2 linked regions of the Lepisosteus oculatus genome follow. The protein of the gene in region 1 purifies or fractionates together with the protein of each later gene. This does not show direct contact. Links are inferred from orthologs where the notes say so. Each region holds a gene or a part of one and is shown in the gene's direction. Other genes may lie near its edges.

Region 1 (7,808 bases):
GCAATCATAAAATACAAATCTGTCCAGGCTGACGTTAGTGAAGCAACAAGTGTTACATGATACGATTCGCTAGTTTAAGTTAAGATCAAATTGGGAATCAATATGTTCGAAAAACCGTGTTTCATGGCTCAAGCCATGGCTCAATCGGGCCTGCCTCTCCCATATTCTGATGGCGACCCGACTTTTCTAAAGCTGGGGAAAGGGCTCTTGACTGACTTCCATCCTTGCTCTCTCTCAGGTGTGCCAAGCTCCTTGTGGAGTACGGGGCCACAGTGAACATTCGAGCCAGAGACAGCCAGGTCACTCCTCTTCACGTGTCAGCTAGGAGCGGGCTGGAGGAGCACCTGGCACTCTACCTCTGCCACGGAGCGGACGTCTGCGCCCGTAACCGCGAGGGGGAGACGGCGCTCAACGCGGCCTGCGCGGGCGCCGAGCGGCCCTCTGAGGGCGGACGCTACTACCGCGTGGTCCAGCGGCTGCTGGGCTGCGGGGGTGACCCCAGGGTGGCGGGCAGGAAGCAGCACACCCCGCTGCACAATGCTTGCGCCAACTGCAGCTACCGGATCACAGATCTGCTGCTGGAGCACGGAGCTGCTGTCAACCTCGCCAACTGCGCTGGCTACACACCCATGGACTGCTTGTTACAAGTGGGTAAAGAGCAGGGCTTTTTTGAGAAACAAAACAAAATATATTGAGAATGGCCGGGAACAACATGAAGATATTTCAAACAGATAGCCAGCAGCTATATCACCCTGCAACGTACAACTGGCAGCCCACTGGAGCTCAGCAGGTGTGAGCTAAGGTTCTTGCTAAGGTTCTAAGGTTCTTGCTGGAAGAGGTGTTAGTGGGGCCAGCAGGGGGCGCTCACCCTGCGGTCTGTGTGGGTCCTAATGCCCCAGTACACTATACTGTAAAAATGCGCTGTCCTTCAGATGACACATAGAACTGAGGTCCTGACTCTCTGTCGTCATTAAAAATCCCAGGGCGTTTCTCGAAAAGAATAGGGTTGTTACCCTGTTGTCCTGGCCAAATTTCCCCCTGGCCTTTTTCAATCATGGCCTCCTAATAATCCCCGTCTCTGACTTGGCTTCCTCCCCACTGAGAGGTTGTGTGTGGTAAGTATACTGGCGCATAAGAAATTGTTGTTATTGGATAGTAGTTTTCAACTCTTTAAAGAACAATTCCACTCTTAATTATCAAAATTGTTTATGGAATATAGAATGGAACATTAAAGCATTGAATAATCTTTTTCTCAGTTTAGAACTGCAGTTTTGTTCTTACACACCCACCCAGTTTGGAACTGCCATCTGTAAATCCCATCTGCTCACTACAGCAACCTCTGAACCTGTCCAGGGTCAACAAGAACCCGTGCACAAACTCCATTGAAATGCCCACTGTTTTGGCCACACATCATTGGACAAGCTGCGCGTGCCACTGTGTCTTGCAGAGTAAGCACTGGTTAGAGAAACTGCACGTGTCTCACTGTTGTCGCTGCAGCTTTTGAAGTTTGGCAGCTCTAGCCTGGCACTTGATATATTACACCACAGATTGGAGAATTCATGTCACACTTGGCTAATGTGATGTGACAATGAAAAACGATTCAGTAAATGAATATATATTTGTATATTATTCCAATTTGAAAGTTAATCGGGAATCTTGTTGGTGTGGTGGTTACCGCTGCTGCCTTCCAGCTCCAGAGTCTGGATTCAGGTGTCCTTGAGGAGTTGGCATGTCATCGGTCTTCTCACAGGGTGTTCTAGTTTGCACCCCCCTCTGCAAGACTTGCTGCCTGGGTTGATTTGGCTTTTCTAAATTGCCCATTCCCTCATGGCCCAGTGAAGATCTGGTGTCACCAGACAGGGGAGAGAAGTCATGTGCTTTGGGGTGAGGCCCTTGCTAGTTCTAATAAGAGTAGCTTTCTGCTAAGGAAAGAACGTTCTAATGTATATACAGTATAACCATGTTAGATGTGAAAAATTAGAAATATAAAAAGCTTTCTATTTTGCAAAATGAAATAACTGGTTCTGAACCCCAATGTATGTTCTCTGGGTAACTTTTCCACTCATCTAGGTACGGACCTTTATTACTAAAATGAATTTTGCCTGTTGTATGGCACTGATCAATCAATAATGCTGTCTACACATTTCTCAGCAGTGGTCATTTCTCATGGTTTATTCATGCTGTGCTTCATTGCAGGTAGTAGAAGACTATTTGGACAACCAACCAGAGGGCATTGTCCGCTCGCTGCTCAATCACGGGGCACAGCCAGTGCACCCAAAGGTCAGGTAGAGACGCCAATGCTGAGCATGAGATCTGCAAACATTTTTCCTGGATTAAAACCACATAAGTGCATTATTCCTAAATAACACGAAAAACTAGAAACGTATTTGTCTTTTGTTCATTATTGACTCAAGCCACCCATTTAGCTGTTTCTCAAAGGATCCCGTGAAGCAGCTTCCTTCACTGACTGTGCATCTTATTTCTTTCCTGAAAACGCTCGTACTTAGCACCTCTTCCTTTCTTCTAGTCTTTCTTCTTTGAAATCACCAGTGAAATATGCATACATTTTAGCTTCTGGATTTCTTTTATATTATGTTGCTGTTGTCTGTGAAAAGAGCACAGTATTTCTGAAAATGGTGATATTTTTTCAGCATTTTAAAAAAACTAACACAATGTCTGCCTCATGCAAGTACGATAAAGTATTGCTTTTGTCACTTTAGATGCTGAAATTGTGTGCCATGTCGCCGTTGACCATGGAAGTGATCTTGAACTCATATGACAGTGTCCCACTGTGTCATTCTTGGATTGAGAGTGTTCCACCACAAGTCTGGCAGGTTCATATTGTTTTTTTTTTTCACAATTAAAGAATTTGAAAATGTTTAGAAAATTAAAAAAGTTTTTTTTTCCATTGTCATTGGGAAGCTGCTCTGAGATCTTGCCCTGTACCCTGTAAAAAATACAGTATTTATAGTAAACAAAACAAACATTAATCATTACATTCCAACTAAACAGCATAACTTGCCACAAACCTTAGAAACACAACTTCCTAGTTTCTATCACAGGTTCTCAATATTAGACTCTCAACTCATAAAAGTGAACAGGTGATTAAAATAGAGAGGCAGTAAATTCCTCTCAATTTCTTGCTGAGATGGCTACATCACTACACTAACATTACATTTCAAGAAGCCTCACTGGATTTTTTAGATGTATTTCTTATTCCATCCATCCATATGTAACCTCTTTTCCAAATTCAGGATCACAGGGAGCCAGAGTCTATCCCAGCTCAGCAGTGGGTGCAAGGTGGGGTACATCCTGGACAGGAAGCCAGTAGGCATAAACATAGGCACACACACTCACACCAGTGCAAATTTTCCCAGGAGCCAATTGACGTACCATTACAGACTGTGGGAGGAAACTGGAGCACCCAGAGGAAACTCATGCAAACACTCAAACTCCACGCAGATAGCACCCCAGGTCTGGAATTGAACCCAGAGCCCCAACACTGCGAGACAGCAGAGGCAGCATTACTAAACCACTGCATAGCCCTTATTGTCTAATCATTGATCGGCATGCTCTCTCTCCTCCTCTCAGGAACACCAAACGTTTTATGAGTCAGTTGTCCAGATGACCAACCAGCCCCGTCGACTGCAACACCTGGCACGCTGTGCCTTGCGCCATCACCTGGGAGATCGCTGCCACTCTGTCATTACCCAGCTGCCCCTGCCCGAGGCCCTCAAGTGCTACCTCTTGCTCAGCACGGAAGGATGCCTGACTTAATGGCTGGCACACCGCTAGAGAATTTATGACATCTTCCTCCTTGAAATTTTAAGAATCAGTTGATTAGATCTAAGTCTGTCTTCATGTCTCCAATTACTTTTGCGACAAGATCACATGCTGGATCACAGGTTTAAAATAATTATCAAAACATCCGTGTCGTTGCATGCTGGAACTGCAAGTGATGCTCAGACAGCATTTAGAGCCAAAAGAGGGCTTTCATATATTTGATCAGAAGGGATATCTTTTGGCAGGCCCATATTTAATAATGTATTCTACTGAATGCCAGAATCTCCTCCTGTGAAAGTTGACAAGGGAATGTGGATAGGACATCAGTATATGATTAGTGGTGTGGTTTCAAGTACAGGCATGTCCACACTGTTAGGTTATGCTGTGGAGGAGGGACTGGCTGCTAAACAAGCTGGTCAGGTATGGTTCCAGGCCTAGACATCTCCCCCCCCCCCCCCTCCACCCCCCTCCATAACTACACTGGTGTGAAAACTGGGTAGCCTAGGGTTGACCATCTGTGTTGCAGCACAGAGTCACACAGTGGCTCAGAGCAGCATGACAAACAGGCCCTGTGGTATAACTCTGAGAGAGGATAAAGCTGATTAACACCTTGCCAGGCAGCTCAGGGACACTCTTGACACATTCTTAAGAAGACGTTTGTACAATCTGTTCACCAGGGTGTTTTAAATTTCAGTAGATGTAGTAAAATACTGCAGATCACCAAGCAGGTTCCACATGTAAAAGCACAGTTTTTGCTCAGCTGTGAAACAGAGCATTGTCCCTAAGGGCCTTATCTAGAGTGCACAAATTGCAGCACAATTATTGTTGACAGTTGTTATAGGCTGTACAATCTGTTTTATAATAGCTTGCTTAAATTGTCCACAGTTATGAAGAGAAAAATGTAATAAAAAATGTGCCCCTATGAATCTTATACACACAACAGTTATTTAAGTGCATTGAGATTAACAGAAAAGTATTATGTTGTAATAGAGATCTTTCACATGCACGTCTCCGGGAATACAGACATGCAGCCATAAACGAAATAGGGTCCTCTTTTTTACAGTATGTGAAAAAATCAACTGGCTTTTTATAAAGTTCTAACTACAGTTAAGTGCTACACAAATGCAAATAACTATTATAATTATAATGTATGTGTTTAAATTAACTTGCAGTCATGCCAATGCAAATTTGGTCTCACCAAATAATAAAAGTACATATTGTATAGAAGCAAATTTACAATTGGACAACTGTACTCTGAGCTGGAGTAAAGTGAAAAAGTGCTTGGAGACCAGTTTGTCTTGCATTTTCACATTTTCTTTACTTTCACTAAAATAATTTCGGAATGGTGTTCCTCAAAAGATGTGTATTTATATGTTAAAGCATTATCACCATTAACCCCGGTAAATGATCTTCTATCTTCCACATACAGTAGCAAGAACTACAAAACCTTAAACATAATGTATCGGATGGCGCTGTTGTCTCACAGATCTTGAATGGATGAATATGCACATATTCATCATTAACGATCATGACCGAGGTAAAAAAAAAAATCACAATCGACAAACATCTAAACATTGTTACTACATACGGTATTGTAAAAGAACGTGACCTTTAAAATACTGTCAATATTATTCATCTGGTTTTCACAACCTCTCGAGTTCAGGCAAAAAAACATTATTAAGGTTTACGGGATCTGTGTCCCTCTTGAACTGCGTGACGTAGCCAATATGTGCCGTGTCTGACGTAGGCACATTTTGTGTTTGTGTGTGGACTGGGAGTGAGCGTTTCGTAAATTTGCTGGTGGCTGACCAGATTAAAATAGTTTGGAAGAAAATTTTAAAAAGGTAATGCTTTATCTGTTTAAATATATCTATAGTTGAATTAGCAAGGTGCGGCAACGGCTAGGTAACAGTCTTTGTCTGTTTGTAGCTTGTAAAAATTACGTCTGGTCGAAGGTCGCAGCTAATGTTGACATTTCTACTTAGAGGAAGATAGACTGAAAGAGGATAATGTTTACAGTTATTTCCGCATTTAAATGTAAGTAGGTATTCCCAATTAAACTATTTTGATTTTTGCTACAAAATGGTTCTTCGCAGTGTAACAATTTGCTATATTCTAACTTGCAAACTAACTCATCTGTTTACAGTCAGTTTTTCAGTAGCTGATCGTGTGCAGGACCCATGATGGTACTGTATATATTTTACTTTTATCACGAGAATTGTTTTGTGGTTGCAGCATGATTATGTACCATATAAACGTTTATTTTGGTAAGCAGTGTTTTGCTATTTTAACCCGCTTCCTTTAGAAAGTCGACATTCTCATACAAAACGTCGAAGTTGAATAATTTGAGCCTATGGAAAGCGCAGCCGGATGATTGCTAACTTCACATTGAATCTGTACGTAAACGAAATATTTTAATGCATTGGTTTTTAATACCATAGATGGTCAATCCTAATTAATAATGACAAGAAAACGCGCAAAAAAAGTGTTTAAACGTGACATATATATCGTGGAGGTCAATGTACTGGACTACGTGTATGTTGGGAATACATCGTTCATTAAGTATATGATGTTCGATTAGAGCGCTTGAATGCCGTCTAAAATCCAGCAGGGTCATTGTATTGTAAAATGTGAAACAAATGAAATCCTACTGAATATGTGTTAATCTTTGAAGTGTGTTGCTGTTCTGCCTCGTGTTAATCATAATTGAGAAAAAAAAACGTATCATGTTTTTTTTCTGATCTGAAATCAAGCAAGCCAATTGACTTCTTTTTTTCCCTGTTATTAGGAAATGTATAACTTTTGCACAGGAAGATCACGTTAAATATTTCATATACACGTGGCCTGTTTTCTAAAGGGGTAGGCTAGGCCTCTGTGTGAGCCCTATTTTGTGGTACAAATGTAAGATCAATGCAGGGCTCTTCATTTTGCTCCTCTAATGTTGTGCTTGCTTTACCTTGTGCTCAGAGCTCAATGGGAGTTGGCAGTCGAGGATGATGCTACTCGAAGCAGTTGGTAATGAAGTGACTGTAGTTGGAGGAGTGGTCCTTTTTGGCCTGGCACTGGTATTGGCCTGGCTCTCCACATACGTGGCAGACCGCGGCGACCACATCCTGGGCACCATCCTCACTACTGCCAACCATACGTCTTTGGTGAGCCTCGGTAGAAGAGAGGGGTATATCGGGGGACCCCCAGTCTCGGACTCCAGTGAACCCCAGCCTGCTTCACCGATTGTGGAGGACAAACCGGAGGACGAAGATGAGCACGGCTCCGAGTCTGGGTCCTCGGACGCGGTCTCGCCCGGGGAGGGGGCAGCCGATGCCAGCATAGACAGCTTCCTGAATATCCAGGGGCTGAGAAAGAGGGCAGCTTCTACCAGTGAGCCCACCGCGCCCAGGCTGGAGGAGGAGGGCAACCAGAACGGCAGCTGTGGGGCAGACAGCGAAGACAGACAGATCCAAGTGCGCCTCAAATTCTTAAATGATACAGAGGAGGTGGCTGTAGTCAAGCCTGATGATACCGTTGGGCTGCTGAAAAGGTAGGGAAGCTCACCTCCATTCTTATCGTTTATTCCAATCCAGGGTCATGGGGGAGATGGAGTTCTTAGCAATCTTACTAACAAGAGATCCCTTTGCATTAGGTTGCTATGAATCTTCATTTTGACCTGAGTAGGTTTTTGCTGTTGTTTATGTCGATTACTCATCAATACAGCATTTTATACCAATTAAATGTACCCCCTCTTTCTACTTAAGAGATATCAACACTTGAATTACTGTGTCATTTTATCTCTTGGATGTGCTCTGGGCTCTTCATTGTAGATACAAAGAAAATTTGCTATGATTACAATCTATATCAATTTGTCTTTGTAAGATCATCGATGAAGACACTTGGAAATAAAAGCCGATGGTAACATGAATTTCGAAAACATGTATATTGCTCTATTAGACCCAGCTGGCTAGACTAACTTCTTTTATGTCTGGAGCTCTGTCAAGAAATGGCTGTACAAGATCTTTGGGTTAATAAGC
Region 2 (7,054 bases), on another chromosome or scaffold:
TTTTCACAGATCTACTGCCCTAACAAGAACACGTGTTTCTAGATGGAAGAAAAACAACCCTATTACAAATCCCGTGACGTTTATGATATATTTAAAATCATTGTAAGGTGATACGAGAGTTTTTGTTAATACCGTACACTAATTTTAGTAACATAAATGAGTTTTTACATCTATTTTTTGCAGTCAATCTTAGTAACTGAGAACAGCTCCCTACTTTTCCCTTCAGTTCTCAGTCTGTTTTTTTTTTTAGTTTTGGACTGAAAAAAGAGTTTACAGTTCATCAGCACTGCGGCTCTTGCGTCCTAGTGAAAACGTTTTTAAAGCTTCAAAAAGTTCCAGGTCAAACAGGGAAAGGCAGGGGGAGCCATTGAGGCTAAATAATAGAATTATAGATCATTAGAATACTCTATAAATACAATTGGGACCCTAACTATATGGCTGGGGAAAATAAGCTAAAGTCTCTTTAAGCCAATGTAGTGCTCTCAGTGCTCTTGATGTCTGCAGTGTTATTTGCATAGAAACTAGGAATACTTCCAGTATGTCTTGATGGACTGCATTCTTGCGGCTTAATGCCAGAGGTGAGTGTATCCAAATGGACACTGCCCATGTTTTTTTACCATGATAAGCAAGAATAGGTCATTTACGTTAGTTCAACATTAAAAGCAGGGGTGCAAAAAAAAACATTTCTGGGGCAACAATACTGAAGAAGTGTTTTGGCTTTATATATTTAAACATATGTAAACTACAAAACCTAAGATCTCATTTTTCTCATGATTGGATGTTTCTAAAACCACAGGATACAGAAATAAAAGAAATGCAGGATCAGGATGGGAGTCCAAACAACAATTAACCATTGCTATTCTGCAAATATGTGACATAGATTGACACATTTTCCGCTATGGAAAAGGTGAATAATGAGCTACAGTAGGTTAGCCATTAACTCACTACACCCCTCTAAGGATAACATTTTTACTATAAATGGATGGATGATTTTCCAAACACAATCTGACATTTTGCAGCTTCCTATGCAGACAGGTTTTTGTAGCTCAGCATGCAGGTAAACAGGCCATTGTTATAAACGACTTCAAGGCTTCAATGGAACACAGTTACACCTCATTTGTAATCAAAAGAATAACCACCATTATATTAAACTCTTTTTTTATCAGAAAAATGTCAGAACGGTTTTTCACAAATATGAATTGGTGTTACTTCCAACACAGCTTGAAGCCATAGCCTTTACCAGGAATGCCGAGTCATTCTTGTGCTTCTAATAAGATATGTTTTCCTTTGAGAAAGTAAAACATGAGGGAAGGCAGGAGATACAGTTCCTTACCTGGTTTATTATGTGGTTTCTAACATAACCAACCCTGCATGGGCAGATAAGATAAGGGTCCTTTGAATTCTTTCTTTTGGTTGGGAAATGGAGCACCAAACAGAATCCGTAGTACCACCACAGCCAGACCAGTCCATTAATTCATTAAATAAAGTCACAATTATACTTAAATGTGATTATTTTATTTCCAGAAATCTCTAAAGTCCAGAACGTGATTTAAAACATTCCCCCGTATCATTGACACCCAAAAACTTTATGCAGGTTCTTGTTCATTTAATTTCAGACAGACTCCTGCTGAGTCATGGACCACGCTGTGCGGAATGCAGAACATGAAAATATCAGGAAACCGTTAAAACATAACTGCTGCAAACAATGATTAATAATAATCCAGACAAGTTAAAAAGAACGCCCCGCGTTTTGCAAAAATGAAGAGGACCCTGCAGATATAAAGAAAATAGGGGATCAAATTCATATATCAGGACAATATAAAGGAACATTGTTATAACGATGAAGGCTCCACAGCCGAAACGTTGTGTTTCCTTTCTTCTCTTTTCAGAATGTAATAAACTTTTACTTGTTCCTTTGCAGCCTATGCATGCTGACGCAGCCAGCTGCTGGAACTATATCAGGACAATGTGATCTTTTCATCCTTTTTGTGGGTACTTAGTACCCAGAATCTGGGACAAACCAGAAAAAAATTGGTTTTGTTCCTGATCTCCTTGGTTTCATAGGGGCATAAGCATGATAAATAAGTGAACATGTTTTAGACAGAAAGATGCTTTGATGGAAGGTTTCTGAGGCAGAAGACAACAGGTACCTGTCATGTCTGAATTCATGTGTCCATCAGAACATTATCAAGCCCACAAATGAGAGCAGGCCATTAAGCCCACTAAACTCATTTGGTTCTGTTTCTTCATAATCTCATATTAATAGTACTGACTGTAGAGGGACAAAATCGCAACCAACTCTAGTCTGAAGTCCCCTTTCAAATAATTATTTAGAGTAAAACCTAAAAATCTATTGTATTTGTTTGGGGGACCTGATAAAAACAGGGCACAGCAAGATCCATGAGCTGTATTAACCACCCTGACAGCCGTCAGGCCTGCACAGCTGTATAACATTCCTCACACCTCATTGTAGTGCAGGCACACATTGTTTTAGTCATGCCTGGCATCGAGACAGAAGGGGGAGGTGATGTTTGACTCCCGCCGATGTAAGGAGTATAAGGTGTATACGGTGTGAATGAACAATAGGATCGCCGTGGCTTGTCATAAGTTATTTACGTGCTGTATTGAAAATGGATCTAACCTTCTGAATACTGCATCCCGGACATTCGTCAACTAGCTCCCTTGATGAATAATGGAGGTGCGGAGGCTTGGCATGTGTTCGGGTCGGACCAGCAATTTCTCTGGGAAGGAGCAGAGCTTCTGTTTATCCGTTACATAATCGCCATGCTCCGGGAAGTCAACTGGACACTGCTTCACAGTAGGGTGAAAGTTAATTTTCCATTCCTGGATCATCAAAAGCTGTCAATGCAAAATGTGAGCAGGGGACGCACGGATGTTGCCATGAAATCCTTGTGCAAGACCGTGTAATAATTTACTGCGTTTATTTTTGCTTGTTTATTCATCTTCCTTTCCAGTTTAAATCGTGAAAGATGCATGGCCTCTTTTTGACCCATTCCACTCGATTATTATTATTATTATTATGGTGGTGGTTGTGGTGGTTCTGATTGTGTTCTCTGATCTGTCACAAGAAAGGATCACAAGAGCACTCTCTTGTGGTCATTTCTAAATAGTGAAATGTTGTGCCAGAACAACAAATTAAATTTTGTTGTTGTTGTTGTTGTTGTTATTTTTGGAGAAAATATGAATATTTGGATTTTTTATTTTAAATTAAAAATTAACTCCATAAGAAATGTTCTGCAACTATTACAAAAAATGATGGTTCTACCTGTACATCATTAACTTTCGTCCGTGCGTTGACACATTAATACTTGAATCGAGCTGTTAAAAATGAAAAATAACGAAAATTAACATTACAAAATGTAATGCATCCATTTTTTACGGGTTTAAGTAATTACTGCGTTACGTTTTAATGTCTCATTCTTTACCAGGCAAACAGCTGTCCTGCAACATGTAAATCGATTAATTTGCAGAAGTGAATGTAACGCATTGCGCGATTAATCGCAAATGAATGTACATTAATTTACAGGACAGATGGAAACATATAACCCTGTTTAGAGGCAGAGAGAGTCAGTGTCAGGATGGCCGAGTGGTCTAAGGCGCCAGACTCAAGGAGCGACTCCTTCCCCGGGCGGGTATTCTGGTCTCCGAATGGAGGCGTGGGTTCGAATCCCACTTCTGACATGACCTTTTTTGTCTCTTGTTTTCTCCCACCGTATAAAAACGGACGCGTCCCATTCTCTGTTATAAAAGTTCTGTATTTTAGATTGAGAATATTCCGCGTCCGTGAGGACAATCTAAAACGCGTGTTTAGCTTTTGCCCCTTCTTGTTACCACGACGTGCCCGCGTCTCCACTCTTCACCTGGCATCGGCTTCACCAGTAAAACCGCCGAGACACCGCCAGGGGGCACTGCTCTCGCCTTTTCAGACAAAACCCGAACCAACACGGGTCTTGGCCTCTCGTTTAACCATCAGACCCACAATACACGGTGTACCTGTACTTGCTTGGTAAAGACAGGGGTCTTACAAGCCTTAATATATGATGACGGATGTTTTTTTGGCAATAGTGGGCCCCGAAACAGGCTCGCCCAAGAAACGAAATGCATGCCGCGGCGTCTCTTAAAGTGGGCGGAAACAGAAATGCGGCGCCAGATAGTTCGGCTACACCTCAGACGTGTTTCGTTTGAGTCTGTCGGTTTTCTCTACGGCGGCCCTCCTTGCCAGGGACGCGATAAATAGATCGAGTCCGTCCCGGCGCGGCTCGCGGCTCTCGCTCGGGTCACGCTGTCGCGTTCCTGCGCGTGTGCTTCCGGGTGCTGTCGGAGTCGGGGCAGCAGGGGATCCAACCAGACAGACGGACCCAGGAGCAGGAGCAGCAGCAGCGAGAGGAAAACTCGAGAAACCGAGGAGAGGTCAGGCGGTGTGCCGTGACGGTTTTGTTGTTTTCGGGGCGATCGGCGCGGACGCCGAGCCGATCCGAGCCACGACAAGTAGTGAAAACACGGGGGGGGTGTCTTCCAAGACATTCCCCGAGTACCTCCGGCACTGCTTATAACCCGACGTCGTTGACGCATACAAGAATGAAACGGCCCTGACCCGTGTCCTAGCACAAGCCCACGACGGGGAGTTGGCTTTGACACCGGTTTCGTGTAAGAGTGCACTATTGTGTCGCCAGTCGTGCGTCTTTGCGTGAGTCAGTTTTGCGCCGGGGTTGCGTGAGGCCCTCCGGGACTCGTCTCCCTGCGCCTGTCGCCGTCTGTCGCTCCGGCTGGGGTCGCGCTCGGGTTGTCGACAAGGGCTTTACACCATGCTTCTGAGCTTCTGTGGGACACGATTTGCTGAGCTGTTCACCTGAAACACGGATCTAACTGTTGCAGTGAGGCGGCGGGGGGGTATTGCGGGTCTGTTGCAGCACCTGGGTCAGTGATAACCTGTCTCCTTGCCATTGGCCCCTGGTGCGGGGTCAGGGTTTTCCTTCAGACCCAGTCGGTGCGATCCTGTTCGTGACGGTGTCACCAGGCTGTTACTAAATCTGGACGGGTGGCTCTGGTCTAGATAATCGTCCAGTAAGTACTCGGGATTTGCGGAGCAAGCTGAGACTTGATATGCTTTGTTATGTTGAGAGACTTTTATTCTTGGTGTACACGATCACCTAACTCACCTTTTCACGAAGGGACCTCCGATTCTGAAAGGACAGCATTTTTCCACGGTTTCCACGAGAAATAACTACATCCGGCAGTCGTTGTCTGGAGTGTACTTGCTGAACTACTTTGTGGATTTGATCGATATAATAAACATAATTCGGATATAAGAATACTCCGAATTAAATAGCTAAGATCTCTACAATTACGGTATTTTTTTTTAAATACAATGTATGCTAACATGGCTGGAATTCAGAGATGAAGCATTAATATTTGACTAACTTTTCTTCCAGTTAAGGTTTCAGTGAAATCACAACTGTCTCCTGGTTTTCCTCGCTGTTATTAATTAATAGTATGATCTTTTTTTAAAGATGTCTTGGATTTTGTTTTGCACTTGTGACGGTGTCAGTATTCGGACGCGAACATGGTGTTTTGAAATAACCTGCCTATCTCTCTCCTAAGTGCAGAAGCCCTTCCTTGTAAAATGATTTGACATGGCTACGATTCGTCCTGGTATTGTAGTCATTTTCTGTCCACTGTTTAGTTGTTCAGCTACTGTATTAACCAGTTTTCTGACACTGCATCTTATATTTGTGCACTGTTCTTTGCAGTTCATTGTCCTGAATATTAGCCATCTTCCTCTGTGTTAATAAGCGCTTTGATGTACTTTATAATGAAAATTGCTATATAGATACAAGGAATTCTTATTAAGCTCTGTGGATAAATATACTAAAAGGCAATAAAGTGCAACAAATGAGTGTTGGAAGAAGCAGCATTTGTTGTGTTTTCAGTGCCTCGCGGTATACTTGTAACAGATCTCAAACGCTGTCCTGTGCTTTCTCTAGGAGCCAGCAACAGAGGGCTAGCTTTTCCTGTCCGCCGTTCCCTTGACTACAGCCGGAGATGGCCAGCGCGGGCCCTACGGCCTCTGGCTCCACGGACAGTGCCAGCACCGGCTGCACCACCGGAGAGGGGAGTAACCAGGACAGCACGTTTGAGTGCAACATCTGCCTGGACACAGCCAAGGACGCGGTCATCAGTCTCTGTGGACACCTGTTCTGGTGTGTGTGCGTGGATCCGTGTACCTGTTTCCCAGAATTCCATGTGCTAACGGGGGGGGGGGGGTGGGGCAGAGCCGCAGACAGGGGTGTCAGTGCGATGTGGGGGTGGGACAGGTGTGGTCCTGTGTCAATTTGTGAATGAAGAGGCACATTTAGAATTATTGGCATGGGCTATTCCGTTGTAAGCACAGGGTGAGCTACACGTTAGAAATTGTCGTGACAGCAGATTAGTTAGTTGTGGGCTTTCTTCTTTGCTGATAATGTCTAGAAGACAGCTTTCAAGGCATGATGGTCAAGATGGGCGGAGCCGTGGCTCTGTGGCTAAGGATCTGCGCCTGTGACTGGAAGGTTGCCGGTTCAAATCCCGTGGCCGGCAGAGGAATCCTACTCCTGCTACTCCTGAGCAAGGCCCTTCACCCCAACTGCTTCAGGGGCGCCGTACAATGGCTGACCCTGCGCTCTGACCCCAAGCTTCTCTCCCTGTCTGTGTGTCTGTGTCTCCTTGGAGAAAAGCTGGGGTATGCGAAAAGAAGATTTCCTAATGCAAGAAATTGAATGGGGCTAATAAAGAAACATTATTATTATTATTATTATTATTATTAAAAAGATCACTTCCAGAAACTCCCATCAACCATGTGGCTGTTGTATTTTAAGCATGTTTCTTTTGCTACTAATGGGTATCAGCAGGGAAGCAGTGACACTTGTATAAAGCGTCCATGTAATTCATTGTTTTGGTTGGAAATTGGTAGGAAATTAACTCGCTGTTTTTTTTCCCCCTTTACCTTACTGTTACTCTGCGCTCCCATGGGAATGCTCTCAGCTGGCCCTGCTTG

Evidence for each region. Proteins that work in one complex are often made in the same cells at the same time.
Region 2: the proteins of tmub2 (region 1) and rnf185 purify together in Homo sapiens (affinity purification with western blotting; 3 studies listed by BioGRID and IntAct, with this or other methods). This does not show direct contact. The link is inferred for Lepisosteus oculatus from reciprocal best matches to the Homo sapiens genes TMUB2 and RNF185.

The regions. Positions count from the first base shown.
Region 1 is NC_090723.1:3,091,181-3,098,988, forward strand, and holds the start of tmub2 (transmembrane and ubiquitin-like domain-containing protein 2), read left to right. Parts: upstream 1-4,801; 5' UTR 4,802-5,627; intron 5,628-5,634; exon of another isoform or gene 5,635-5,820; intron 5,821-5,830; exon of another isoform or gene 5,831-5,969; intron 5,970-6,088; exon of another isoform or gene 6,089-6,179; intron 6,180-6,750; 5' UTR 6,751-6,776; coding exon 6,777-7,321; intron 7,322-7,808. Other genes in the region: asb16 (ankyrin repeat and SOCS box protein 16), read left to right, coding at 239-647, 2,197-2,280, 2,721-2,834, 3,592-3,777.
Region 2 is NC_090717.1:6,587,387-6,594,440, forward strand, and holds the start of rnf185 (E3 ubiquitin-protein ligase RNF185), read left to right. Parts: upstream 1-4,046; 5' UTR 4,047-4,431; intron 4,432-4,458; exon of another isoform or gene 4,459-4,668; intron 4,669-4,687; exon of another isoform or gene 4,688-4,986; 5' UTR 4,987-5,085; intron 5,086-5,104; exon of another isoform or gene 5,105-5,370; intron 5,371-6,005; 5' UTR 6,006-6,063; coding exon 6,064-6,221; intron 6,222-7,041; coding exon 7,042-7,054. UniProt on the Homo sapiens protein: E3 ubiquitin-protein ligase that regulates selective mitochondrial autophagy by mediating 'Lys-63'-linked polyubiquitination of BNIP1.